Linked DNA regions of Astyanax mexicanus. The protein of the gene in region 4 purifies or fractionates together with the protein of the main gene of each other region. This does not show direct contact. Links are inferred from orthologs where the notes say so. Each region holds a gene or a part of one and is shown on either strand. Other genes may lie near its edges. The genes, in order: agpat4, abcb10, golm1 and slc39a4.

What was found.
Region 1: the proteins of slc39a4 (region 4) and agpat4 purify together in Homo sapiens (affinity purification with mass spectrometry; 3 studies listed by BioGRID and IntAct, with this or other methods). This does not show direct contact. The link is inferred for Astyanax mexicanus from reciprocal best matches to the Homo sapiens genes SLC39A4 and AGPAT4.
Region 2: the proteins of slc39a4 (region 4) and abcb10 purify together in Homo sapiens (affinity purification with mass spectrometry; 3 studies listed by BioGRID and IntAct, counting the BioPlex papers as one, with this or other methods). This does not show direct contact. The link is inferred for Astyanax mexicanus from reciprocal best matches to the Homo sapiens genes SLC39A4 and ABCB10.
Region 3: the proteins of slc39a4 (region 4) and golm1 purify together in Homo sapiens (affinity purification with mass spectrometry; 3 studies listed by BioGRID and IntAct, counting the BioPlex papers as one, with this or other methods). This does not show direct contact. The link is inferred for Astyanax mexicanus from reciprocal best matches to the Homo sapiens genes SLC39A4 and GOLM1.

The regions. Positions count from the first base shown.
Region 1 is NC_064432.1:23,983,844-23,990,681, forward strand, and holds the start of agpat4 (1-acyl-sn-glycerol-3-phosphate acyltransferase delta), read left to right. Parts: upstream 1-3,834; 5' UTR 3,835-4,057; intron 4,058-5,956; 5' UTR 5,957-6,004; coding exon 6,005-6,182; intron 6,183-6,838. UniProt on the Homo sapiens protein: Converts 1-acyl-sn-glycerol-3-phosphate (lysophosphatidic acid or LPA) into 1,2-diacyl-sn-glycerol-3-phosphate (phosphatidic acid or PA) by incorporating an acyl moiety at the sn-2 position of the glycerol backbone.
Region 2 is NC_064414.1:38,773,852-38,781,791, forward strand, and holds the start of abcb10 (ATP-binding cassette sub-family B member 10, mitochondrial), read right to left. Parts: upstream 3,005-7,940; 5' UTR 2,277-3,004; coding exon 1,859-2,276; intron 45-1,858; coding exon 1-44. Other genes in the region: urb2 (unhealthy ribosome biogenesis protein 2 homolog), read left to right, coding at 5,039-5,164, 5,409-5,585, 5,845-7,940.
Region 3 is NC_064419.1:21,470,909-21,478,718, forward strand, and holds the start of golm1 (Golgi membrane protein 1), read right to left. Parts: upstream 3,022-7,810; 5' UTR 2,869-3,021; intron 1-2,868. Other genes in the region: ATP-dependent RNA helicase DDX51, read right to left, coding at 7,434-7,460.
Region 4 is NC_064410.1:3,405,429-3,413,053, forward strand, and holds the start of slc39a4 (zinc transporter ZIP4), read right to left. Parts: upstream 3,010-7,625; 5' UTR 2,818-3,009; coding exon 2,614-2,817; intron 1-2,613. UniProt on the Homo sapiens protein: Selective transporter that mediates the uptake of Zn(2+). Plays an essential role for dietary zinc uptake from small intestine. The Zn(2+) uniporter activity is regulated by zinc availability.

The DNA.
Region 1 (6,838 bases), on a different chromosome or scaffold from region 4:
GTGAATAAACAGCATCATGAAGACCAAGGAACTCACCAGACAGGTCAGATAGGTTATAAAAACATATCCCAAACTAAGCATCCCAAAGATCACTGATCACAGTATTCTACAACTGTAAACCTACCAAAATATGAAGGTCCAAGAAATCTGACAAATCGGGATCTCCCCCAATCAGATCTCAGTGTTTAGGATCTGGACTGCTCTGGGAGGAAGGTTGTCCTGCGGTGTGGACAGCAAAGTCTGCGTCCTGAGGGAAGATGTTCAAACTCAGGAAACTGGACATTAAAGAGGTCCAGCTCCTAAATGCTGAGAACTGATTGGTTCTGATGATAAATAATGTGTATCTGTGAATCCTGTAGGAGAATATGATGAGTTCCAGGTTTTGAAGATTTAAAAACCCATAAAACACCTAAAACATATCTTCTCCCGGTGCTGTGGTATCTGTATAGGGTAGCGGTGGTATCTGTATGAGGTGCTGTGGTATCTGTATGGGATGCTGTGGTCTCTGCGTGGGTTGCTGTGGTGCAAAAGAGTTCTCTACAGGTAAAATTTAGCTTCTTTTATAAATGAAGCCTACTGGAAGCACAGGCAGCATCTCATAGGGAGGTGGGTGGCTTTTAGTCTTAAACTGTAAAAATATATATACTCAGGTATACTCAGCTGATCTAGGTAGTCTAGTCAGTAAGATTAGATAGTTTAATGCAACAGATGAAAAACAAAATTATCATGAAAACCACTTAAAAACATTAAACACTGTGAATCTGTGAATTCACAGAGCCGCTAAGTAGCACATATCTATTAGTATAACTCAACAGAACACTCCGGCTGGGCTAAGCTGAGCTGAGCTAAATTAAACTAAGCTAAGATAAACTAAGCTAAGATAAACTATGCTAAGCTAAGCTCTGCTAGGCTAATGCTAAGCTAAACTATGCTAAACTTAGCTGTGCTATGCTATGCTAAACTGCAAAGATTCAAGTATAGCTGAATATAGTCAAATAGTTTCTACAGACTTCTAAATCTACTCACCTCCACCTGAGATGCTGCATGTGCTTCCTGTGACCTCTGTTTAAAAGAGCAGATAAATTACAGTGCTGCCCCCCTGTGGCCAAACTCAGTATAGCTCAGTGCCACGGCTTGATGGTGACCGGCAGCTTGTGGCTACAATTGTCCATGTGAAAACACTCAACACAAACACACACACAATGCAGGAGAGCCCACACACCCACACCTAAACCCATACATCACCCAGTGCAAGACAATGAAAAAAAATTTATATGGATTTAAGATGATTTAACTTGCTAAGATTTTAGTTTTCTGCAGTGCGGGGGTTTATTTCTGTATTGTTGAGTAAAAATAACTCTAAATACACTTTTAAACATGTATTTTAGCTTCTAGAGCATTCTTTCCTTTAGTTTAACTCATGAAGTTCCTAATATTAACTCATACTGATCATCCAGAGAACATCACTACAGCACAGTGTATAAGAATGTAGGAGTGCTTTAGGGTTAGTTCTGGGGCTAAAACTAACTCTGATCAGATTTCTAGAGCAAAATGTTACAATAAAAGTTAGGAAATTGTTGTGTCATTTGTGTTACATCCTGATTTTAACCTTATACCATTTACAGTGATTACAGTTCTCTTTATCACAATCAATAAGAAATAATCATGAATGAGCTGCTCACTGAATTTACCAGATTCAGTTTTAAAACTGATTAATATTAAGAAATTAGTCTGATGGGCTCTTAAAGTAAAATAATGAGATAGTATCTTAAAATAATAAATTAGTAGCTAAAAATACTGACTTACTCTCTCAAAATAATGACTTACTATTTCAAAATAATGGGTTAGTATCTCAAAATCTTAAATTAGTACCTCAAAATAATGACTTACTTTCTCAAAGTAAAAAAAACTATAAAAATTACTATTTCAAAATAATGAATTAAAATAAAGAGATAGTATCTAAAAGTAATGACTTACTATTTCAAATTAATGACTTACTATCTCATTATTTTCAGATAGTAAGTTATTATTTTGAGATGGCAAAATAATGATAGTATCTCAAAATAATGTATTTGTATCTCAAATAATGAAATGGTATTTCAAAATAATTAATTACTATCTGCAAATAATGAGATAGCATTTTAACATAATTTATTACTATTAAAAAAATTTATTATTATCTCAAAATAATGAGATCAGCAATTATCTGCAGTTTACTTATCAGTAAGATATATATATATATATATATGTATATATATGTATATATATATACATATATATATATATATATACATATATGTATATATATATACATATATGTATATATATATATATATACATATATGTATATATATATATATATATATATATATATATATATATATATATATATATATATATACATATGTATATATATATACATATATATTATTTTGAAATATTAAGTCATTATTTTGTACCTTAAATATAACAGAGGACAGTAAATGTGTCCGGCTGAACTAAAGGCTGTAGTTCGGGTAAATCGCCAGCAGAGGTCGCAAAGTTACTACAGTAAGACAAGTGAAGTGTTTCTGAATCGGAGGACATGCTACCTACTTAGGGAGGATTCTGAGGCGGGAACTAGGGAACCCGGGCAAATCTGGACTGGAGATTAGTTATCTGGCGTTCATTTTAGTGGACAAAACATTATAAAATATAAGGTTAAAACACTTTTTTTTCTGACACAGAGACTCAATCACTACACAAAATCCACTAATGAGTGAGCTAGTGTAGGCAGCAAGTTACCAAGGTAGCATGTCCTGCGTATTAGACACACACTGATCCTGCAGATGCTGATATAAACACTGCCTCTCTGAATAATGTTATAATGTAAAATATTTTATTTAATATTTAATATATATTGCATATTAAAATTTATTTTAAATTTAATGTTTAGAGGGCGTGAGGGTACAGGGTGTAGGGTACAGGAGGAATATTGAGACACACCCTTAAAACAGCTCGTGCCTCTCATCTGTCTTCAGTGTTGCCAGTTTGAGGAATTTCACGTGACATTTCTAAGACTGAATGTACATTCATTTCAACATTTTGATTGTTCTGGGCTCTGAATCTACACTTACAAGGCTTTGAGGATAAAAGTGCTCCTCATAAATAAAAATGTTTATTTTATTATAGTAATAATAATAATTATTATGAGTATTACTTAAATGTCCCTTTCTAAACTGTACAAACACAGTGCAAGCTATAAGAATAAAATACAAGTTATATTTAATGTATTGAGGTGTTGTTTAAATATTCTTATTTCGTTACTGATATCACATTAAATGTTTTTTGTTTGCAGTTAAAACATTTAAATCTGCTTTATTTTTAAATAACTGATCAGTACAAATTTAAGATATCAGTAGTTTATTTTTTGGTCATTTGTTATTGTATAATACTGTTCGTACTAATCGTGTCAGACTTATTGGTGAAATTTTTGCTTTTGATACAATATGGCACACCTCTAGCTTTATATTGTATACACACTGAATAAAAAAAACATGATCAAGATTCAGATTTATTCTAAAATTATAATATATATATTCATGTATATTAACTAAACACATAAAAAACATAAGTAAAAAACTACTTTCAAACTGAATTTAGATATTACCTGGAGGTGTATTTATTTACTTGTGTGTAAAGTGATGATGATGTAGTGTTAATAGGGAAAATCCCTAGTTTTTATTATGCTGAATTATTCGGCTGTTTTTGGCGGGTTTTGAATCATTTTTGTTCGGATTTTTGTAAATCACTGTAAGAATCTGGCAACCCTGCAACCCTGAATGGAAGGTTCAGGGCGTGGCCCCGCCTCCCCTCACTGTGCCATGCCTGAGTGTGAAACGCTGCTGTAGCGCCGGGAACAGTCCGATTACACCTTCCGATTATACCGATTATATCGGTTACAGAGTCCGATTATACCGATTACAGCGCGGGGCTGGAGGAGAGCGGTATCGGACTGCGGTTCTGAATCCGGATTCAGGAGATCAGCAGCTCCTCAGCACTGCTGTGTTTAAACCAGGTGAGTGTTCTAGTTGAACTCGGATGTTTCTAACTTACTGATTTAATGCGATTAAACCGAATTCAGCTTCTATTAACCCGCCTATAAATCCGATTATATACAGAACTGATCCTCCCATAACAATCATAATACTAACAACAAACTGATCTTCATACTGTTCTCTCTCTCTCCCTTTATCTCTCTCTACCTCTACCTCTTTTTATACCTCTTTCTCTCCATCTACATCGCTTTATACCTCTACCTTTTCTTTTTCCTCCCTCGCTTACTCTCTCTTGTATATCTTTAACTATCTATCTCTCCTACTATACGTCCCTATACCTCCCTTTCTGTCTTCATCTCTTTATGCTGCTACAATATATCGTTACTGTCCTATGAAAAACACTTTTCATGAAAAAAAAAAACTCCATTTTCGTCGATTTTAAGTTTACTACATAATTTGAACAGACAAACTGTCCCTTATACTGTGCCAAACTTTCTTGATGAAAGGGACCAATAGAAACTCTTCAAAATGACCTGAAATAAACTCTTTTTACATTGACTTCCATTGAAAGTTTACAAGGTTTTTTCTCTCTCCTGTAAAGTTGCTGTTTTGGAGATAAGAGTTTTTCATTGGACAGCGACGATATATTATGATATATTGTGATACTCTAAGTAGGACAATATATAATCAAAAAAAGGAATTTTACAAAATCTGAGTAAAAGAAAAGTTTACTTTTCATCCAATTGGAACATCTATCCACAACACAACATCTAGTTGGCGGGGTTTAAACAGACAACACTAAATGAACCACTTCTGACACCAATCTTTACATCTAAACTCACTCAAAACTAAATATCAAGATACTGCAATTTATCAATATTTTCTAAACATAAGACAATATGATGTTAAAACAATGAATACTGTGATACTTTAATCCTCTCTCACCGTGTGGTCAGTGTAGAGTTAGAGAAAGCTGCTGTAGGAGAAGTTTATCAGTGTAAATGTGCAGCATGTGTTTAACTGATCAGCAGTGGAACAGCACGTCATGTGTTCACCGCTCTCCCGAGGGAACAATAGACCCGTTTCTCATCCTACACTCAGATACTGAGACACTGAGACACTGAGTCAGTGTCCAAATCTGATTATTACAGGACCAGCACAATGCTAACACTGTACCCTGCTGCACTTTCCACCACTTTCTTAATTTTAACTCTGAAAAACTGCAGAACAGGGGAAGCATGAAGTGCTGTAAGATTTTGTGGGGGAAAAAAACTGCACTGACTTTAGACTTGATAATAAAACACAGTGGATCAACATCAGCAGATGACAGACATGACTCTCCAAACCATCACTGATCATCAGTAAATTTTATATTTCATTTGGAAATCAAGGGAGCAGAGTCTGGAGGAAGAGTGGAGAGACACACAGTCCAAACTGCTCGAGGTCTAGTGTGAAGTTTCCACCAATCAGTGATGGTTTGGAGAGACATGTCATCTGCTGGTGTTGATCCACTGTGTTTTATTATCAAGTCTAAATTCAGTGCAGTTTTGTTTTCCCACAAAATCTTGCAGCACTTCATGCTTCCCTCTGCTACTGACAACTTTTATGGAGATGCAGATTTCATTTTCCAGCAGGACTTGGCACACTGCTCACACTGCCAAAAGTACCAATAGGTCTTATATAATATTCAAATTTTCTGAGACACTGATTTTTGGGTTTTCATTGGCTGCAGGCATTAATTATTAACAATTTTACTGAGATAAAGTAACTTTTCAATGATATTCATACTTCTTGAGATGCAGTAGTATGGCTGTGCTTAGAATATCACAGTGTATTGTGCTATATTGAATAGTAAGTCGTGTATGGTGATACGCTGCTGTATTCTGATGTGTATCTGTGTATATGTCTCTCTCCTGCAGGGACTGTAGAGGCTAAAGAGGACAGTAAAGACTTTGTGGTGTTTGAAGATGGGTCTCCTCAGGCTGCTGAAGACTCAATTCCTGTGTCATCTTATTATCTGTTATGTGTTCTTGGTCAGCGGCATCATAATCAACTTCCTGCAGCTCTGCACGCTGCCACTGTGGGGCATCAACAAGCAGCTGGCACGCCGGGTCAACTGCAGACTGGCATACTGCATCTCCAGCCGTGAGTACCAAACCAATTTAGTTTCTGTGGGTCAGGATGTTCTGCTGTTCGTTTCTCCTCCACTAAACATTAAATATTAAGTGCAAACATCTGGACATTTAGGTGGCTCTTTTAAAATTTAGCTCCTTCAACCACAGACGCAGCTCCCTCTCTGTGGAAGGTAGTGGATGAAAGTTAAAGGGGCACTAAACTCCCTGATTTGATTTTAGCTGATTTTACCCTCAGCTCAAATTTGAAAACTGTAAAAAAAAAAAAAAAAAATAGGAGAAGTAGTTTGGGAGATAAACTGGGTGATGTATGGGTTTGGGGCGGGGCAGGAGAGAGAGCTGATTGGCTGAGCTGTAGCAGCAGCAGTGTGCCTCTGATAACGGTGAGAAATAGATGGTTGGACGTCAGCAGCGTATATAATTAACTGAAGGTTGTTTTTTTAAAGGTTAGGAAATTATTATAAAAATGTTACACAGGACTAGTATGTTTCATTACTTCTTTTATAAGAAAAATATCAGCTATTTATTAAAAAAAATAGGGTTTAGTGGCTCTTTAACTGAATCTCCTCAAGTTCTTGCCAATACACAGAGCTAATATTTGTCTTATTTCAGATTTTCAGATTTCAGCAGAGTGTCCCAATGTTTACCGTTCGCTATTTCCCCATCTCT
Region 2 (7,940 bases), on a different chromosome or scaffold from region 4:
AGACATAGTGACAGCACTGGAGATGGCAAGGAAACCCACAGCAGCTGCCAGAAAAAAAAAAGAAAAAAAGAACAAAACTTGAAACATTACCACCACAAGAACTAGCACAACTAGTAAACATGCAACACATTTTGACATAACTAAAATGTTTACATGTAGTTTTGTTGACATTCAGTGTTTCCAAATGTCCCTAATTACAAAAAGATTACATATTCTGGACTGAACAGTTTGGTGTGCAGTCTTATGGCAAATATGAAATGATTACAGGGCATATAAATGCTCCCCTGCCACCCTATTTAAAAGGCTTTTAGAGGCTACTTTTGGGTTGGTGTACCTCTTGGTGAGAGATTGTTGAATGCTAGGCATGCCGCAACAATGCACTTTAAGTCATTATGTCTAGTTTACAAACTTTGAAAAGGGTTTCATTACTGGACTGATTTTAACAAAAAATCCAGGTTCTGTTTGGGATCAAATGACAGTCATGGAAAGGCTTTGTGATGAGAGTTTCAATCCTGCCTTTGCTGTGGAGTGACACACTGTCCCAACTGCTGGTGTGGTTCACAATCTGTCACCCCAGGGAGTGATATAAGGGACACTAACAACTCAGCGATATGTGCTGAACAATGTGTTGCTTCTTATGGCAGGGCTTCTAACTGATATTTTGTGATGTATTGACAAACGAGCATTTATTGGACAAAGTGGGATGGTGGCTTCTGCAACCTATGAGTCTGCAGAAGCTACTGATGCAGCTGTTACATCTGTAGACAACTGGGTTGCAGAATTCCACTTGGAACATACTGTATATGCCCAGGCTAGAGGCAGACCAGCAGAATTAGAGCCCCTGTAAAGATCTTTTTGTTGTTGTTTTTTTGTTGTTGTCAATGAGTGCATATCAATCTACTTAGCATATAACCTTGGCAACTTTGCCAATTAGAGTGGAGTCCATTTACTGTTCATATAGCAGTTTTACAGCTTAAGGAAAAATGAACACCGTATTTTTTTAAGTGGATGGATAAACATAGCACAAAAAGTAAGGAAATTTGGTAAATCTGTTTGGTAGATTATTTCTTTGTTGTAACAACGTTTCTTGGAAATTAATTTTATAATGAAGCCTGTTAAGTTTCCTTTTTAACGGTTTCAAATTTGTAAGGAACCTGCATTCTTGTTACGAGCAGGAGAGCTGAGTATGTGTGTTACGCCCATGAATAATTTGTCTTTTCTGCAATTGCAAAACAGCTTATTTTGATGTTGCTATTGACCATTGCATTCGACTTCTGGTGCCCCCAGGTGTGGTATGGCACCTGTGAGCATGGGCCCAGTGATCAGTAGGTTTTCTGAATAGGCCTGTGTGATAGGGCATATTCAAGCTGATGTTCCACAAAACCAGTTTGCGCCATTATTTGTAGTGAGCCATGGTACCAGTATCTCCAAAATGAAGACCAAGTGCTATATGAAAATTGATGTTAGAGACAGGCCTCAAAAAAAGGGTGTCTCAAGAAGACCCCAAGATAATACATAATCAAACATTTAACAAGTCAATGGCAGAATGAGCTGTTTGGCAATGGCAGTGAGGATTTGACTAACTTTTTATGGGCACAACCCACATACTCAGCTTTTCTGCTCATCCCACAAATATATGTTCCTTACAAACAAGCCATCGCTTAAAAGAGACCTTTTTTAAGATTTTCAATCTTATAATATTTATTTCCAAGAAACATTGTTACAGAAAATAAATTATCTATCAAACACAAATTTTCATACGTTATGTGCATTGTTTAGTACAATTTCAAACTGTAGGAACACTTAAAAGGATGAGGTAAAAAAAAAACTGAAAAGACACAATGAACTGAGACTCTACCTGTCAGTCTCCATCGCTCTGGATAAGCAAGCTGCAACAGTTTTTTGAGGTCATCCGAGGGTATTCCCACTGGTTTGACTCTAGTGTTGACTTGACTTTGCTCGTTTGCCACATGCCCTGCTTGTTTAGAGTCTGCCGAGGTGCTGTAGAAAGCGGCAGCCCGCATGGAGTGCGGCCAAGCGGCGCGGGAGATAAAGCCCAGTCCCGGGCGGATGCAGGCATGGTGGGACAGGGCTTTCCTCACGTACAAGGGAAGAAAACAGACCCCATAGTGTTCACTTTCCTCCCCACACGCCTGCCTTCTCCACGACCTTCCCAAAGTCCGACTGGGCAACAGGTACTCCCTTTGAGGACGGTAGCAGGAAATGCTCCACTTTTGCAGTAGTTTCCCAGCAGTTAGTCTTGGCGTTAATAACATTATGAGCAGTTAATGCAGTTAAAGGAAATAAAGAGGCCACCTGCATTTGCAGACTGAGATTGATAGCTAGGTTATCTAGCTTTGATACATTTTAATTAAACTAGACATGACTTGCTTTAACATCATAAATGCTATCAAATAAATAAAAAAAAGATTTAAACTAAACAAATCACTTTCTATATCTATAGAAATATATCTAACATTACAAAACGTATACGTCTAAACACATCATTATTTATATTTAATATTTAGCTAGTTAACTACCCAAGCTGATCCAGCTGATCACATCCAGCTCTACACAAGCACTCCGGCTCCTGATCTCTTCAGAAACACCAAGCCCACTGTGAGCAAAGGTATTGTTCGAGTCCGACAGTTACTAAACCGCATTATCTGTCAGTGACAGCTCCTCACACAGCCCAGCTTCTCCTTCTCCTTATCTCCTCTCCACCCAGACCAGTCACCGGCAGCGCCCCACTGTCACCACAACCTGACACAGCCGCCCCAGGTTAGCTAGGTTAGGTCATCTCTCCCTCTTGTATCCATTCAAAACACCGGGACGAGGGACGCGGGGCTTCTGGGAGCACCACGTGGAGCAGCACATCCACAGCAGCGTCACGCGCTCAGAAGAGTCCGCTGAGGTGGATGACCCCAGGTGTCCTCCTGCACCGTGAAGCACAGAAACTAACACAAACTAAACTCCACTCCAGCCCAATGGCCGCTCTCAGTACAGTAATATAACACTCTTTCAGACGCGTCCAATCACACGCGATCCATCGATTCCACCGGCAGCACGTATTCACTGATCTACAAATAATTATCTAGAGGGATTTATGCTGTCACATCTTCTGTAGATCGCCGGTATTCCGTCGCGACATGCTACTTATCGATACGTGCTTCCTAAAGGCACTGCGCATGCGCTGAACCACGGTTATTAATTATTTCTCGTGTTTTATAATAAATATAATAATAATAAATATATTTTTCTTGACAGACAGAACACCTGGTCCTAAACGTTTCGCCAGGTTTTGGCACATTTATCTGTTAAACGTGTTGCACTTTATTTATTTTATGTTTCTAAAAAAATATTAAACTTGAATTGAATAATTCCATAACATTTATGTTGATACAGACTGTAGACAGTTGGATGCTACTACATAATGATTTATTCATAGCTATATGTTGAGAGCTGAAACATCAGCATTTGTATTTTTTAAAAATCATTTTCACCTCTCTTCTCTTTCTGAACCTTTAAGTCTTAAAGTCTTAAAAAACATCTAATGCTTTAATGCCTCCTTCTAAGCTTTGAAAGCGTTTTTAAATATTCAGTAATAAACTATTGAAGTTTGTAATTCCCTTTCAATAGCTGATCACTTTTGCAGTGATTTAATCGTTTTTATGGCTAGTGAGACAAGATTGAAATTGATATAGAATATATACAAGTGTGTAAATGTTTAAGATAGCAAAATAACCAGTAGAAAATATTAGCCAAACCGAATCGGATCGCTGGCTAATAGTCTATCGATTCGTACAGTCTAGGCGGAAGTGCTGGGGCAGAGTTACACGGGTAGAGGACTTTAGCGGGGACCACGTGTGTGATGTGAATGTAAGTTTATGGTGTTTTGAAGGAAGCAAACCGATTTAAACTCATTTTAACAACATTTATTGATGATTGAAGAAACATAGGCATGCTGTCAATGAAAACTCACGTTACTGCTGCTGTTTTGGAGCTGTAAACAACTAATTGTAGAATTTCTACAGTAGAACTGTTACCTTTATCTAACTTCTAGTTAACTAAATGGATTAATGGTATATGTTACTGTGACTAAACTACAGTATGTGTGTGTGTGTGTGTGTGTGTGTGTGTGTGTGTGTGTGTGCAACCTTGATTGTGATTTAGTTTCCTTTATATCATAATCTTAGGTGTTTTGACTACATGCTATTGACACATTGTATTATCACACTGTATGACTGCTGTAGTGTGATCAGTTTTACCAAACTTTCTTAGTGGTAAGATGATTATACCTGGTATTGTGACGTTTACTGTAATAATTAATCCACCCCTCGTTAGTAGCACCTTTTGGCAGAAATGCAGGAAACAGCTGCAATTAGTCAGGTAGATCAATAAAGACTGTCTCATGTAGAAATACTGTTTTTATATTATTTATTTAGGTTGTGTTCTCTTAAATCTGCATTCTCTTGAAATGTTTAATAACGAACACCAGGCCAGCAACTATTAGTCGATATAATCAACAATGTTAAATATGAATATTTGTCGACTAACCATTATAATAATACCATTTATAATAATAGCATTTATAACAGCACTGCACTACACAAAGTGGCGGGGCACTAAAACGCAATGGCAAAGGGGGAGTTCACCTGCACTCAACTCAGTCTATCTCCAAAAGTGCTTAAACCCAAAAGATTACATATTTACTCACAAAATATCAGTATGATCCAAAATTAAACATATGGGTATTTAAAAAGCATTTGAAAACCATGTTCCATGCAACATATACTATGCTAGTAAAAAGATGGTTAACCAACTTAATCTTTAATAACCATCTTTTTAATCTTTTTAGACATTTTTACCATCAAAGATCAACCCAAACTATCTAAAACCAGCTGCTAGCCAAAGCTGGTATTGAACTGTGCTTTTCAAAAGGGAACATGTGCTATACTGTTTGTGCAGTTGTCTTTAATTTGCACTCTAAATAATTATTTCCTTATGCCCTTTTTTTCAGCTCCATCTTTTTTTGGACATGGCTACCATCTACACTGGTATCTATCAAAAGCTGAAAAGCTCTCAGACACCTTGGGCAGATAAACTGAAGCTTGCTCGATTTGCATTGGTATCAAGGCAATGCCTTCTTCCAAACAAGGAACAGGTAATAATCACCTTATAAAGTAATTGACATTTACAAAGGTTATAATAATAAACTGATGTGTGTGCCTATTTAGTTAATTGTGAAATTATTTATATGTTCCTAGTAATGTAGGCAGGAATGTACTGTTATTTTGCCAAAAATATTCCATGTCCTGAATGCAGAACATGTATTACACAGAGTTTTACTTTGCAAACCTCACACCTTACACCTTATAAACCTTAATAACTTTATCTTTATCTAACAGGTTTTGCTTGACTGGACTACTAATGCCCTTTCTGCCTATTACAACAAGAAAGCAGAAGTTCCATTTAAAGAAGTGGAAGGCTTATGGAGCTACCTGGACGAATTTCTTCACAGCCAGAGGATTAAACATGTCTTGAGCAAAGGAAAGACTATTACTGTGAACCCAGCAGTGTGTCAGGTAGCAAAAAGCTCAGCACAGATCTTATGGTTTTTTTTTTTTTTTTTTTTAATGTTGTGTTGGATAATTTCCCACAGCATGACTTATATGCTTTAGTTAACGGTAATAATAATTTATTATAAAATAAATGAATAAATATCAGCTTATAAAACATTAAACAGAAACTGTATTTAAAATCCACCTACTGACATTTGTTTGTAAGTCATCAGATTTAAGCTCAGTAAAGTTTTTATTTCTTTTTTTTGTTTGTTTTACACAGATAATCATTGAAAGGATTCAAGAAGCCAGCTCAGGAACACTGTCTGTTAGCCTGTCCACTGTTTTGAGCTGCTGTCAGGGGATTGTGAGCTCTCCTGTCCTCTCTGTGAGCTACACTGCCAGATGCGATGTTTTGGTGCAACTACTGGTTAAAGTCTGTGGTTTGGCCTGCTATCAGCTCAGCCAGCAGGAGGAATGTTCTGAGCCTCTTTCACTAAATGTGTTTGAGGTTCTGTTCCTTGTGCTCAATTCCTACCTGACTGTACAAAAACAGCAAGGCAACTCCAACAGAGTTTTTACTCAGGTCACAGAACACCTTTTGCAGCCGCTTTGCCTGCTTAGGCATCTACTGAGCAGTAGGACGTGGACTGAGAGGGATGACCCGAGAATCAGGCAGAATCTGAACAAAGAGATCCGGAGTAAAGTGGACATGATTCTTCAGTCAGCTCTCTTCTTCGATGACCGCCTACCATGTTATAAAAAAGAAGTTTTGCCACCAGAACGAGAATCGAGCTCCAAAAAGGGATCTACTGGCAATATCTTACTCTGCCCTGTTGCTACAATTCTGTCAAAACTTGTTCACGGACATGGAGTTGAGAAAGAGGCTTTGTTGTATGCTGTCAGGTGCAATTCTCTCCCGTTACTGTTTAAGTTTGCTTTAGATTCATTTGGAAAAGATGACGACAACAAGCTAGTTTGCTTTCATATTATGACAAAGTTTATCCTGGCGTTAGAGTTTACAGACGACCTGCAAATCAAGGAGACATTTAATCCAGAACATTGGAATATTGTTCTACTTTCTCTGGAGAACATGTTGAACTCCTGCCTGGCTGGAGACATCTATAATGTAGCCGCAGACAGAATTCACCACGGCGAGGTGCAGCTAACGTTCTACAGGAAAGTAGCGCAACTTTTGTTTAGCAATGCACAAACAGACAAACCCTCCTGGTACCGATGCCTAAAAACCCTGCTTGCACTGAACCACTTAATCCTGGAGCCTGATCTTGATGAGCTTGTCTCCTCAGCTTGGGTGGATGCAGAGAACACTGAGTTACGTGTGAAAAAAGCTCGTGAAACACTTGTTTCTGAGGTCATACGGACCTACGCGAAGCTACGACAGCTTCCAAGACTCACAGAGGAAGTGCTAATCGTGATCACCCGTCCGGCTGCTGATGAACTGAGACCAGAGCTGTTAACTGAAGCTGTGCAGAAAACATTGAGTCAATGTCTCTTGGACAGCCCTGCCAGCCAGAACCTAGAAATCTGCAGACGCATTCTGGAGAAGATACAAAGTGAGCTTACTTATGTGAAGGAAATGAGAAAGGAGTCTGCCTTGAAACTGTTATCTCTGAGTGTTCTTCTTCATACGGTCGTCTTTAGTCTGAAGACAGTTGATGATAGCACCCCAGTCCCTCTGGTCAGGCAGACCCAGAGTATGATGGAGCAGATGTTTAGGTTGGTTGGATCATTGTTGGAGTGTCTTGAGGGGCTTGTTAGTACAGATACCCTCTGGATAGACAAGATTCAAGAGGTTAGTCTTCTTCTTACTTACATATGGCATGAGGCTGACTCCCTCTTTCAGAATCACTGCAGCAAATACACATCACCAGCTGGCACAAGTACAGTGCGCCCTGTGTCTGATACAGTAGAGAAAGTTCTGGCTCTGAAAGTCAGTAGTAGCCCACTGAGTAGGCTTCTTCAGAAGCTTCTCGCTGTCCATAGGATAAAGAAACATTTGCTTGTTTCTCCTTTGCCTGTGTTAAACACAGACAATAAAAGACACACAATTCTTTGTGAAAGTGCTCAGTTTGTAGTAAACAGGCAAGACTCTTTAATAAACCTAAGTACCGACCAAACGTGGGACCTCCAGCTTTGCAATGTGAATAACGACACATATTCTGTGGCCTGCTGGTTCCTTGTAACCACCAATCTGCCGTTAATTGCTCCATACCTCTCAAAGGAAGATGCATGTCACATAGCAGACGCTATGTTGAACTCCTTGCTTCATAGCGACCTTGGAAGCAATTCAGAAAATGATGACATGTCAGTCTTTCTAATTTCAAAGCAACTACTCGAGAGCGCGGTTCTTTGTGAACT
Region 3 (7,810 bases), on a different chromosome or scaffold from region 4:
ACACTGATTAGTTCTCAGGGAGTTCCAATAGTTCCTGAGTTATAGTTACAGTAGACACAGGAGTCACAAGCAGCAACACACACAGAAGAACTGTACTGAACCCACCAATCACTGTACACACACACACACACTGGAACTGAAATGTCTCTTTCCCTATCAGCAATATTTGCTTAATTCCAAAAACTATAAACTCTCTACCACAGTAACTGCTGTGATCATGTATGTTCTATATGTTACAGTATGTTACACATCTCTACACCTTATCCTCACTGAGCAGTTTAGCATTTATGTTGCATTTTCGTTAAACTCACTTCACTTTATATGTTTGCATATGGTATTGTTGTTCATGATAAATGTAGCAGATGCAGCATTAAGTTTAGGAAGGCGATAATGTTTTTCAAATGGGTCATTTAGGTGTTTTAAACCTAGATTTTGAATAGTTTTTTTTTAAGTTTACCTTTATTTTGTGACTGTAAAACTGCGCCAGTTCATCACAGGTGTATTTCACTTACTTTCAAAAGATGTACACCAAATGTATGAGTACTGCTTTCACCCTGTTGTGTAGAAATGCTTTTAACCTGCAGATGCACTGATGTATTGACATAAATTATCAAGTGCACAAGTCTCTACATTTATTTTTTTTAAATAAATTACATTTATTTTAATAGTTAAGGGTATTTTTCTTACTGCCTGTATAATTGTAGCTGGCGATGGATATTTAGAAAAAAAAAATTAAACAGGGAAAAAAAAGGACAAAAACTAAATAAATGGTTTCATAGGGCCCAATACACATAAACAGCAGACTTTACAGTGTCTAAAAATGGATTGGCACATTTTCCTCTTCAATCAACTGTTCCTGAGTACCATTAGTAAAGTGCACACATTTCAAAGTACGAAGCGCTAAAATGAGAAAGTGTTTTTTAATGATGCACTTTACATAAGACAATAATACCTGGCATATCGCCCGGCACTGTGATGATGTCAGTTTTTACTGTTAAATGCAGAACAGAGGAGATGGTGTAAGCATTTCCTGGAGCAGGACTCTACACGGAAGGCTCACCCACATGATTCAGTAGGGAGAGTAGGGCACTGCCTTAGATTACACTCTAGTTGACGTGTTCATTTTAATATGATAACATGAAAGCCCAGAGTAACCTGATTTCTGGTATGAGAGAGATATCAGCTTCAGTAGCAGTGAACGTAGCGGTGCAGTGAGTAAAAGTGCTTTTACTTCAGTTACTCAATTGAAAGTACCTGTTTACAATCCTGATTGAGCTCCCCAAAGACCTGCAGAGGATCATATCAGCTCACCCAGCAGGTATCAGCAGGGACATTTAAGACACTGCTATTCTTTGTTCTGCTTTATTTTGGGATACTTTACATTTAATTTATTTTCTACACTGTAGATTAATAAAAAAAAAAAAAAAGAACTCCAAGAACTCCTTCAAGACGCTGAGAAAACTATTCCAGGTGACTCTACCTCACAAAGCCACTAAAAAAGGGCGTGCAAACCTGTCATCAAAGATAATTATGGCTACTTAACATTTTCTTTACAGAATAATGCTGCATATGTTCCAGTATAGCTTTAAAATCATGAAAAGAAAGAAAACACATTAAATGAGAAAAGGTGTCTCCAAACTTTTAACTGGTACAGTACCTAAGGGTAAAATACTTTACATTTCTACTGATAAAACTCTTGCATCCACACTGTAATAAAAAAAACAGAAGAGTGAGTGCGTTTTTAGGCTTTTTCAGTCACATGACATCACAATTTAGTAGCTCTTTTATTTCCACTCACTGTTGTGTTAACGTGGATCTCCGTGGAAAGGTGTATTTTCGGTGAGATTACGGTACGGTTGAATTGATTTTTTTGCACCAGGAGTGACATAAAGTTATCCAAAAGCAGCGTGTAAGACTGGAGGAGGAGAACATGCCAAGATGTATGAAAACTGTGATTAAAAAACAGGGATATTCCACCAAATGTTGATTTCTGAACTCTTAAATCTTTATGAAAATGAACTTGTTTTCTTTGCATTATTTGAGGTCTGAAAGATCTGCATCTTTTTTGTTATTTCAGTCATTTCTCATTTTCTCAGTGACAACATTTTTTTTTTTTTTTGGAGAACTGTTATCTGTAGTTTACAGAATGAAAACAATGATAATTTTACTCAAACATATAGCTTACCTATAAATAACAAAATCAGAGAATCTGATTCAGAAACTGAAGTGTTCTCTTAAATCTTAGGTTAGCTGCAAATCCAGTCCCAGTTCTCCAAGCAAGAGAAACCAGAAGCAGTAGCGCTCTGTTGTGATGGACCACTGTTTTCCTCATAAGCTATATGTGAACCTGCAGAGTTCCTGGGTTGCTAAGATTTTATAAAAGTGTCAACAGCAGGTCTCTAGGTCATTAAATGATTAAATTTAGATAACGCTAGATAACGAGAGCTCTCCAGAGCACCACCAACAACAGTAGAACGGAGGCAGATTAATATGTTAGCTAGTTAGGTTAGCCAGCTAAGCTAACATTAACTCAGTTAGTTCCAGACAGGTTTTCAAGAAGTAACACGTCAACAACTCGCAGTTAGCGTCCTGTGCTAACGCTATTCCTGTAAGAAACGACAAGAAACCTGCCCTGAACGCTCAGCAAAGATACAAGAGGCGAAACCTTTCTGTTTAGTGCATCACAGAGAACTACAAAAGCCGTGTGGGGTAGTTTAACTTAGCCTGTTAGCTCTGTTAGCTAGGCTAAGTATCATTAACAGGAGTCCTGCAGCTAACTAATACAACACAGGGGCTACAGAGCCCGGCGGCTCTTCTCTCCGGTTTATGAAGGAAATACAGATTATTTCATCACAAATCTCTTCTCACCTCTCTACTGAACAGCGCAGTTACATCAGCTGAGACCCAGACGCGTGAACATCATCGATAATCCGCTTCTCTGACCGAGGATTTGTCTGCCAGCGCCAAGCTATACTAACCGAACTACATCCGTCAGAGCGCTGTTTGATTTGACTCAGCAGCAGCGGAGCATCAACAGCAATGCGACTCACTCGTTAACGAATCGGTTCAAAGTGAATCGAGTCTTTCCGTGAGATCTCCGCACTGTATTAGTCTTTAAATATTACAACATCTTAAAATACATACAATCACACAATGAAGTTTCACCGTGTAACCGGTGCTGAATGCTTGTAATTTATCTGCCTTTGTTAGTAAGCATCGGTTCTTTGAAATAATCAGTCAAACAGAGTCGAATCGAATCTCACTTTTTTCTGGAATACTTATGTATTACAGTGGCAGGTAGGGGTGTGCGCAATAATATCGACAACATTTTGAATATTGTGAATTATATTATACCCTGAAATATCGTACCATATCACCCACCCTTAATTATCACATCAGGGTACTACTTTTTTGCTGTTATCAGCAAAAGACAAATGCACAATGTTCTCAATTACAATTATACAGATGTCTGAAATCACCCGGAAGTCGCGGGAGTCTATTGCATATCAACAATGGCTCCCTGATGCCCTGGGATCAGATAAAATCTCCCAGAATATAGCAGGTACATGCAAGCCACACAGACTTTTTCCCCCAATCATGTGTGGGAAAGAAAGGGAGAGAGAGAAAGGCGCTTCCCTCCTGTGCATATTCGTGAACAGCATGCAAAACAGAGAGAGGGATCTGATTGGCCTGTTCTCTGCAAAGACTCTGTGAGTCAGCCAATCAGTTTTTAGCATGGGCAGGCGGTGTTTTTTTTCCTCCTGAACAGAGGCATTCAGGAGCATCATGGCTCCTATTAAAACTCATTCCACCTCTGACTACTCTAAAATCTGTCTGGTAAAAGTAAAAAAACAATTAAAGTCTTCCATCCATCCATCCATACATTCATCCATCCATCCATCCATCTATCTATCTACCCTGTTATGTTCTCATTTGGTGTGCGTGCAAGGTAGATTTATTTATTTATTTTTTTGGACAGGAGATCTCCTCAGACAGCCAGCGCCTGCCTGTTCTATATGGTGTCTACACAGCCCCAGAAGATCTTTCCAGCCACTCTTTTCCTCTGTTTCATCTTATCACAGACTTTAGGACACTTAAGGACTGTTTGAAACACAAGGACTGTTTGCTGTGTTCATGAAGGACACAGAGCTGAACAACACCATGAAAAGAACTTGTTGTTCAGACAGGCTGGAGCTGATCACGTCATTGGAACTGGACAACAAGCTGTTAACTGGACTCTGCTGACATAATCATATTGATAAATTCTGTTCAATCACATGTTATTTGCATAAATGTATAACTGCTTGGATAAAGTCTGAAGGGTTCTCTCTCTCCCTCGACTGGCTTTATTTTCTTTCTCTCTTTCTCTTAAATCTCTATCAAGATTTTATTACACTATGTGTTGACTCGTTGATGTACTTTTACTATTTTCTAATATATATTTAATAATTTTTGTTCCTTTTATATATATCTGTAATGCTGAAACAATGTTTCCAGTAAACTTTAATATATATTTTAAATTTTAAGCTCTGACTCATTGGTCATCTTTTCATGTTCTGGGATTTCTCACATCTGAGTTTTATCTAATTCATGCTGTGGTAAATTACTCTACAATGGAGATATTTGGAGTGCATTATTAGTATTATGACATTCTGGATCATTGACTTCTGTTACAAATTTGATAAAAATTATTGTATTTTTTAATATCTCAATTAGGGGTGTGCCATATCATACTGTATGCAATAATAACATTTAGTTTTCATTTTTTCTGTCATGTCACCAAGAGTATCGTTATCACGAAAAATTTAGGGCCATATCGCCCACTCCCAGTGGCAGATCTAGGATTTTTCTGAGTAAGGGGCTATCAAGGGCCACAATATTCATAGAGGAGGGGCCAAGTATTATTTCACCACGTTTAAACACTTGAATGTAAGTTTAAAAAGTTAACACAATAAAATCTATGAAGTTATTTTTGTGCCAAAAGTTTTAAACAAACAAATAAATCTGCAATCAATTTAAGGATTAAAAGGAATCTCTTCTTTGCTACTATTTTTTGCTACTATATGTATATATTTTCGATTGCAGATTTAATATTTTTGTGTACATTTTTTTCACAAAATTAACTCCTTGCAAAAAAATTAAATCTCCTTTCCAATTTTACATGCAATTTTACTGTGCATAGAGAAAATAAGTGACAGGACAGGGGCATTTCGAAGGGCCAATCAGATTTTAGCCGGGGCCATTGTCTGCCGCATTAGTATGTTTCCCCGCCCCTAGAACCTCCAGTGATGAATTTTTAATAAGTTCAGTACAAACTGCTTTTTAAATCATAAGACTAGTCCAGGTGAATGAACTTTAAATAACACTCTGATATTTAACACCTTTGAATTATAGAATTTAATATCACACATTTTAATGAGGGATGCATTAAAAAATAAGATACGAAAAAAAATTATACCAGATCACAGATAAGTTGTTTATGTAATAATAATAACGAATAAATAAATGAGTCTGAATGAAACGTATAATGATCTCTTTTTTTTTTTTTTTACTTCAAATGAAACTCTAAACTTCTTTACAGCATCCAAAATAAAAGCATGCTGTAACCTGCAATTAATAAATCTTGAAAAAATGGTAACATTTGCTATACAGGTATTTATCATACCTTACAGCCTTTACACTGACAGTACAAACAAACAGATACCTCATAATACCTTCTAATAGATGTTTTAAATCGTTCTTTGGAGAAATGTTCATTATTATTACATGAAACTTTAATCTGGTAACCTTATAATAATGTAAAATTCATTAAGACTCAATGCTGTTCGAACACTGGAATCATTTAAACAAACTGATCAAAAGATTCAGTTCAATAATTCACATTTGTTCAGGTGCAAAGGGTGAGCATGAGTCTCTGAACACCTGGGGCATGGTTTCTAAATTGCCATGCTCTCTGGAAAGATGGCGGAAGTATAAAGTAAATATGAAAGATGCCTCATATTCTAACTAATACTTAGGCTACAAGGTCCTATTGAAGGATACAGTATGTCTTATATTCAGGGGCGCAGATGGAAATTTTGAACTGGGGGGGACCAAGCTGTAAAATTATATATATATATATATATATATATATATATATATATATATATATATATATATATATATATATATATATATATATATATATATATATACGTATATATATACGTATATATATATATATATGTACGTGTATATATATACATACATATATATATATACGTATATATATATATATACGTATATATATATACATACATATATATATATATACGTGTATATATATATACACGTATATATATATATATGTATGTATATATATACACGTACATATATATATATATATACGTATATATATATATATATATATATATATACGTATATATATATATATATATATATGCTGCAATAAACTTTAGAATATTGTTATTGTTATATGTTATGTTTTTTGTTTCTTCATTGCTACAGCCTAGGCAAGACCAGGAAGACAATGTTAAACGCAGTGTTTAACGCAGCTCCGCCCTCCGGCTCAACTTTATTCAAATAAATCCGGCCGCCGCACTGTGTCCAGTCCAGCCAATCAGGGAAAAGCAGGCTGCGTCCAGCCAATCAGGGAAAAGCAGGCTGCGTCCAGCCAATGAGGGAAGAGCAGGCTGCGTCTTCACACACACACACACAAGCCTCTTACACACACACACACAGACAGAACAGGCGCCTTTCAACCACAGAAGAGAAGCTGAAAGCGGCAGAATATGGATTTATAGAGCTATAGGTTACAGTGAGGTTGGTAAAAAAATAAAAATATTAAACTTATGACTGTCTACTTCTGTTGCTTCGTTTTAATTCAAAAACGAGCAAGGAGATCCAGCGCAGCGGATTGCGTTGAAAAAAGTGCTAGTGGACACGTACCGTAAGGAGCTGGTAACTGCCTCTGTCTGTAGTCTACAGGCAGTTACCAGCTCCTTAGAACCCCGGACTTGAGAAGGTGCGTTAAATTTACATTGGAACTGGAACACGGAGCTCCGAACAATGTAACCTCTGAACTGAACGCTTCCTAGTTTAAAAACGAGGGCATTGTGGAACACAGAATTCCACAAACGTACAGTTAATTAAATTAAAACCCCAACGTTTATGTTTGTAGATGATAGATTTCGGATGAGGTCACTATAAATCTGGGGGGGACATGTCCCCCCCCCCGTCCCCAGTGCCATCTGCGCCCATGCTTATATTTAAGTAAATGAAAGAGCAGGGAAAAGACGACAAAGTCTTAATGTAAAAAGATTTATTCAAAATACAAAGTCTTTTGTGGAGGAAAAGATGTATTAAAGTTTAGACAGAGACAAAGGAACAGACAAATATTTATTCAGCTGGGTCAAATCCTGGTCACCTTCCTTTCAGAATCTGTTCTGGGCTTTCTCCTCCTTCAGAAAACAAAGACATTCAAACATGCCGGATTATATTCTGACCAAAGGTGTGTAAAGACAGAAAGTAAAATGACAGAAAAATTTAATGACCCCAAAAGTGCTCAAATAGCCCAGACTGTATAACCTAACCATCACACAAAAATCTTTGTAATACCCAAAAGGTAACGTTTCTTGTAGAAAGAAAGAACATATGGAAGGCAATGTAAAATTATTTTGTTTCAAATCATTTTGAAGCATTTCTAATTGTCTATTCGGCATGATTCTTCATCTTGAAACAATGTACTAGTGCATGTCGAAAATTTTAAATATCACTGAAAAGTTATTTTATTTCAGTAATTCAGTTAAAA
Region 4 (7,625 bases):
ATTGGTCAGAACTGAACTGAAAATATAGCAAGAAGCCTATGTGTTTTGTGTTTCAAACAAGCAGTGAACGCAGCACGTAAACAGCATGGAGCAGCAGAGACTTATCATCAGCAGTTTAGCTCAAATAAAAGAAATATATTTGATAGCTGGGGTCAGATCGAGATCAGATCATGTTCTCACCACATGTTGCCTTTTAATTGCCTTTTTCATCTCCACCTGTCACGTTCTTTTCCTGTTTATGTGCTTTCGTGCACATGGCTCTATGTTCTCCTTGTCTCCACCCCTGTATTCAGTGCTCCCACCTGTGTTCATTAGTAACTCCACCCTCTCGTTACCTGTACCCAGGTGTTTCCTGTTTCATGTCTACTTCTGTATATATATATATATATAGCCCCTTTTGTTTTGTTGCCCCTGTGTTCCTTTGTCAGTTCTTGTACGGTTTCACCTCAGGTAGGTTGCTTGCTTCATGTTTGTTTACTTGGAGCGTACACATAGTAAAAAATAAGATCCAAACTGATTGGGACACAACCTCTCTTAAATGTGGTAGATCTTCTGAGTTGTTTCCAATATGCAGTCCAAGGAAAGACAACCATGGTCCAAGTGAACCAACAACTATATGGACTTACAGGGTCTACTGCTATCATCTTAGAGCCAGATACCACCAAAGGACATCTTTAAATGTCTGTAGAGTTCATGATTTGATAGTTTGGAACTGTATTAGTAGCACAAAGAGGCATTAAACAATATCTTAACATCAAAGAACTGTTTTTAATTCTAAATTATTTGGAAAAAATGGAAAATATGACATTTATGATTCTTTTTTTTCTGTTGCATATGGAACCTTTAAAGAAGATTATCTCTTATCTTAGATGAAATTAGACTCTGGGCTTCATGGAGCCATTATCTGCTTTATCAGCTTTATCTGAGCTTTACATTATGCTGTGGAAACAAATTGCTATCAAGAGGTCTGTTACTATAGAACACACACATAGAAATTGGTATGAATTCTTTAGTGGACGTGTAGCTTTTGTGTACATTCTTAATAAAAAAAAGACCTAAATGGTTTTAGGTTTCAACATGAGTTGGTTTTAAAACCTTTCAGTTATAGATGAAACTTATTAAAACATTTTTTGCAGCAAGGTCCCTATAGTTACCAGTCATTAAAATATTATTTCTAAAAATTAAATGTTGTTGATGAAACAGCTCCCAATAACCTTTAGTCTAACTTGGTTTTAAGAGTGAGCCGTTGCTCTTTGGCTCTTTGTTCTGTTGTAAAATGGTTATGTAAAAGTAATATGTTGGATTTACTGGATTTTTTTTTAAACATAAAATCTACATAATTCTAAAATATTCAAAGGTATATATATAAAAAAGAAAGAAATAAAAGCTTTTACAAAACATGAGCTAGCATTAGCCCCTAGCCCTCCTCATTCCACATTATTACCTTTCTTAAATAAGCCATTGTTACTAAAAGACAATGGCAGATTGTTCCTCAAAGGACCCTTTCTAAGGCAAAGTTAGTGAGAAGGTTTTAATGCTAAGGTTAAAAAAGCAGGAAAAGCTCAAAAGAAAAGAGTAACAGTGCTTTTTTTCACTTAGACTATTTACATGTAGTTAAAAAGGATAAAAAAGGGCAGAAAACAAAAGCTGTACAAAATGAGTACATTATATTACAAATCACACACAAAAAAATAAAGGATAAATCAGGAAGAATCGAAAAATAAGCCATGTTGGGGTTCTTCCCAGACAATTCTTGGATTGACCTCCAGCATTCCTATTAATAAAATAATTCTGTTATATATATTTTTTTACTTTTATTTAACTGCCTGTTTTTTTTTTGTTATTTGTACAAATTCTTTTTTAACCATTTTAAAGCTAAGTTAGCATGTTTACTGACATGTAAAAAATTAATGTCACTAGAATAATAGTGAATAAAATAATTCTGTAGTAGATTTAGATTTTCTTTTGACTTTTATTAACTGCTTATTTTTGTGCTTTATCAAAAAAAGTTTTAATCTTTTTAGATTTTAATGTTAAGTTAAAACATTAGTGTCCCTAGAATAACAGCGAATAAAATAATTCTGTAGTAGATTTAGATTTTTTTTGTTTTATTTAACTACCTATTTTTGTGCTGTTTGTCTAAATTATTATTATTATTTGTTTTTTCGTTTTAGATTTTAAGGCTAAGTTAGCACGTTTTTCCGACGTGTAAAAAAAAAATAGTTTTTTAAAATTTTAAAACTTTTATTTAACTGCCTAATTTTGTGTTGTTTGTCCAAATTCTTTTTTGTTTGTTTGTTTTTAACGCCAAGTTAGCATGTTTTTTTCCGACGAGCTTTATGCCTATTTTTTATTACAAGCTATTTACTTTAGTTTAACAGCAGAACACTGACAATTAATATCCTTCCTATATTTAAAAAAATATATAAACCGTCTATAAAACGTCTGAAAAGCGCTAAAGAGAAGCTTTGGACTGAAAGAAGACGCTCTGGTCTATATACCCCTCCACGCTTTGCTCTCGGCGGTGTAGCACACGGACCGGCGGCGGCAGGGGTGGTGCTGGACCTCGACCCCGCGGAAAGTCAGGCTCGTGCTGTGCAAAAAAACTCGTACCTTTCCACACGACACACCGGCCCACTGCACACGTTTCTCCAGGAGGCTGAAAAAGGAGCGGACGGCGCTGTCACTCAGCTCATCTTCTCCAGGGGACAGCAGGTGGACCACCTTCCCGTACACGTGCTGCCTGGCGTCGCGCGCCCCGGTACCGCGCGCGTGGCAGATCAGAAACAGCAGCAAAACCGGCCTCCAGCTTTCCATTCTGTTTCCACACGGTTTAAATGTGTGTTAAACGTTGGGAAAACGTGTCTAAAAACTGGTGGTGGTGCGCAGTCCTCGTGAGAGTGCCACCGTTTACAGGTGCTTTCCAAGAGGGAAAAGAGTCTACCTGCACAGGTAGATACTCCTCTTACAGCCCGGTCCACTCGATCCTGATTGGTCCCCTGATCGACTACGTCTCATCACACAGCGGGAGTTTGTTCCCTAGGCTTGGGCCGGATGGGGGGCCTGTCCCAGCTCACACCTGTCCCGGTGACTTCTCTGAGCTCGTGCATGTGGTTTTCCAAACGAATATATATAATATTGAAGCATAAAATTGAATACATTGAATTTTATTTGGGATTAGCCCTATAGATGTGGGTAATAAACCATAAACCTCATTTTATTAAAGATGGCCACTCAAGGAGATGTGAACAGGCCTTACAAGCTTTTTTATAAAGCGTTAAACCCCATATTAAACCCAACAAAATGAAATATATGATGATCTATTATCTAAAAAATAATATACTGGATCTACTTGAAAAAAAAAAAAAACGTATGTAACAATTTGCATAGATCTTTTATTAGATACACATAATCCCCAGTTAGTAAAAACGTGTAGTAAAAGCTACAAAATGTTTTTTGTTGGACTAACTTAACGTTTTAAAGTTGTTTCACTTAATATTAATCCCATTGTTTTGTTTGATAAACACAACTAAATTCCAACATGTTCCATCAACATAATTTCAGCATAATTTCAAAATTTTTAAATACTACTAATAATATTTTTAACTTTTTTATTTTATTTTTGATATTGACCTTTTTGTTCACAAACCATCCCTAAACAGTAAAATAAGCATGCTAAAAGTGTGATTAAAAAATAAGTTAATTTAGTGAAAAATAACCTTTTTTAATTAGACTCTTTGGCTCTAATGCTGTTTTTTTTTTGTCTTTATTGTTTAGACAGTGTGATAGATCTTATATACTTTGGCCAATATGACATTACCAATAAAACATTATCTATAATAAACATATTATAACAGGAACATATTATATACTGTACAACTTGGTCCCTTCATAAGTATCTCTTTTTATCTTTTTCATCCTTTTTTTCATCCTCAAGTTTATATCAATACACCCCATCAACATGGCTTAACCTCTGACCTTCCTTCCACTCTTCCCTGTTGCACGCATGAGAACGCTGTCCTTCACTGAGCTGATCCAAGATCAGCTAAGCGGACCAAGTTCTGAGCAGCAAAACTGGCCTCATATCAGCATAAAGGGCAATGCCCCCCCACCCCGCCCCCACCTTCCGCGGCTGAATCAGCTGTTACCAGGCTACAGCAGCAGAGTTTCTCCACAAGTGAGGCGGTCAGCGTTTTCTGGAAAGTCAGCGCCTGCACACTTTAGGCAGCAGCTACAGGACACAGGTGAATACGTGACCTATTTCTTTTTTCTCTGGCAAAAACACAGGAGCGCTTGAAGCTGGGAGGAGAAAAGGCCTTTAAAAAGTGAGCGTGAAAAACCTACAGCGGCCGAATCCCTGCAGAAAGTTCCTCAGCTCTAAATCCTGCTGTGTCATCAGCCTACTTGTTTTATAACCTGCTCAAACTTGGAGGTAACATCTCAGTTACTTCAATGTTATAATCAGGATTTACTTTATTAGAAAACCTGTATGTCATATGATTAGAAGATCGCTGGTTCGAATCCTGGTCATGCAGCTTGCCATCATCAGCTGCCGGAGCCCTGAGAGCGCACAATTGGTCTTGCTCTCTCTGGGTGGGTACAATAGATGGCGCTCTTTCCCCTCGTCACTCCTAGGGTGATGTCGATCAGCACAAGGCTGCGTCTGTGAGCTTTGCTTTCCTCCGAATCCTCCATTGATTTCCAAATAAAATGTACAATTTTCTGATGATCAGTGATGGTTTGGAGAGACATGTCTGTCATCTGCTGGTGTAGATCCGCTGTGTTTTATTATCAAGTCTAAAGTCAGTTCAGTTTTGTTTTCCCACAAAATCTTACAGCACTTCATGCTTCCCTCTGCTACTGTCAACTTTTATAGAGATGCAGATTTCATTTTCCAGCAGAAATGGCTGAAATAACAAAAAAGATGCAGAGCTTTCAGACCTCAGATAATGCAAAGAAAACAAGTTCATATTCATAAAGTTTTAAGAGTTCAGAAATCAATATTTGGTGGAATAACCCTGGTTTTTAATTACAGTTTTTTTTTATGCATCTTGGCATCATGTTCTCCTCCACTAGTCTTACACACTGCTTTTGGATAACTTTATGCCTTTACTCCATCATCCATCTTTCTCTTGGTTATTATATTCCAGAGGTTTTCAATTTCATAAAATAAAAGAAAAATCATAATTTTAAGTGGTCTCTTATTTTTGTCCAGAGCTGTATATGGGTGTTTTTTATTGGTTCACCAAATATCCAGCGTCTATAAGAGTCTCAAAAGGCACTACTGAGGTAGTCATTTTGTTAATATATGCCAAATGTTCATCATTAAACCACATAAACCTGGATAAGGGGTTATGTGAACCCTGCCCTGACCAGGCTGTTAGCAGTAAAGGTGCCCACCTGTTTTCACTTCCTCGTGTGAAGCTCTCGCACCTTTGTGCTGCCCCTGTGTGCTGTTGGCTACGTTCTGTTCCATTCAATTACTCAGGGGTAGTTATCACTTTACTGTAGTTGCTTTTAAACTCAGTGACACTGGATTATTGCACTGAATCCTGATGTCTGCCGTTTCATGACCTGTGGGAATATTCCACAGCTGAGGAAAGTTGATATCAAATTTACCTGCCGCAGCAAAAACAGGTAAATAATAACCATCATGTTAGACTGGAGAATGGAGTGTATGTTCATAATCTGCCCACAAGAGGGGGGCCTCAGTCCTCCTAATGCTGTTTTGCACACATGAGCCAGCATTTGTTCTCACAGGTTGGACCTCAGAAAGGATCTTTATGTCTTTGATAAGAGCCAAAAACACAGATTGTGTGCTTTTTTAAGAAGACAAGATACCAAAGATCTCCTTAATTAGAAAAGTAACTTTATTACAGCGATTCAGTTCAAAATGTGAAACTCATATTTTATATATAGATGTATTACACACAGAGTGATCTATTTTAAGTGCTTATTTCTTTTATCGTATGATAATTATGGCTTACAGCCAATGAAAACCCAAGAATCTGTGTCTCAGAAAATTTGAATATTATATAAGACCAATTGGTAACACCAGCAGATCACATGTCTCTCCAAACCATCACTGATTGGTGGAAACTTCACACTAGACCTCAAGCAGTTTGGACTGTGTTTCTCTCCACTCTTCCTCCAGACTCTGCTCCCTTGATTTACTTTAAATGAGATATAAAATTTACTGATGATCAGTGATGGTTTGGAGAGACATGTGATCTGCTGGTGTTGATCCACTATGTTTTATTATCAAGTCTAAAGTCAGTGCAGTTTGGTTTTGTTTGTCATCCGCAGCCTTGTGCTGATCGACATCATCCTCGGAGTGATGAGGGGAAAGAGCACCATCTACTGTACCCACCCGTAGAGAGAGCAAGGCCAACTGTGCTCTCTCGGGGCTCTGGCAGCTCTCGGCTAGCTGCATGGACCGTGCAGGACCGCGCAGTGCCCAACTTCTTCTTTCTTGGAGCTTTTTTTTTTGGTAAATTTGTGTGAAAAACAACTTCTGACACTATAATCTCTGAATAAGAAGGCTATCAAGATATAACAGGCCTGGAAATCGATGGTTTACTGCAGTTTTGCTAATAACAAATTACAGATTTTTTAACAGAAAGATTTCTTGGAGCTTTTTTATTGGTCAATTTGTCTGAAAAACAACATCTGATAGTGAAATCTTACATCTAACTTTACTAACTTGAGCATCTCTTAAAGTAATCACTGAATGAAAAGGCTATCAAGGTATAACAGGTCTGGAAATTGATGGGTTACTGTAGCTTTGCTGAGGGGTTTAGGTGGAGGTCCCTTACTGTGAGCTGTTAGTCACACTTATTCACCAACACTGTAATAACATGCGACTTACTGCTGTGACAAACCCAACCTGGACGAGAGAGAGAGAGAGAGAGAGAGAGAGTGCATTAAAGCCGGTTAATAAGCTCCCCTCATCGACGGCCCACTCTCTTCCTGGTCAATAACGTAAACGCCGCTGGCCCTCGAGGCTAGATACGGAGCAACGGAAGCAGACAAACGGCCATTCATCACGCGGCTTTATTATAAGCTAAAAAGATCCATTACATGCTAAACATAGGCAGCATCTGCAGCATTTCTCCTGAAGCATCTACTCATCCTCCAGCTTACAGAGAGAGAGAAAGAGAGAGAGAAAGAGAGCGAGAGAGAGAGAGAAAGTAAACCAGAGGAGAAAATGAGCTCCTATAGCAGCATTGATCTCAACAAGGCTTCTGCTGAGGGCAGTGGAAAAAAAACAAAACAAAAAAAAAACAACCCTACCTAAAGATCCACCGACCACACAGAGCGTCTGAGCAATCTGATTGGCTCCTGTGGCTATTCTTCTCTGGACAGAAAGAAAGGACTGACCATCCAGCCAGCAGGCGGGCGTGTGGATCGGCTATTGTTATGCTAAATATACATTATTGCAAGACTCACAGTCTTTTTCAGGGCCTTGCGTTTGGATCGATGCTTTAACTCTAGTGGTGGGAGTCCATACAGAGACCCCCTTTCAGCTGGGGAATGCTTTTAGTGTAATAGGGACGTTTTACTTTTTACATCAGATTTACATTTCTGCACTTAAAACACGTTTTATTGTAATTTAATGGCATGTA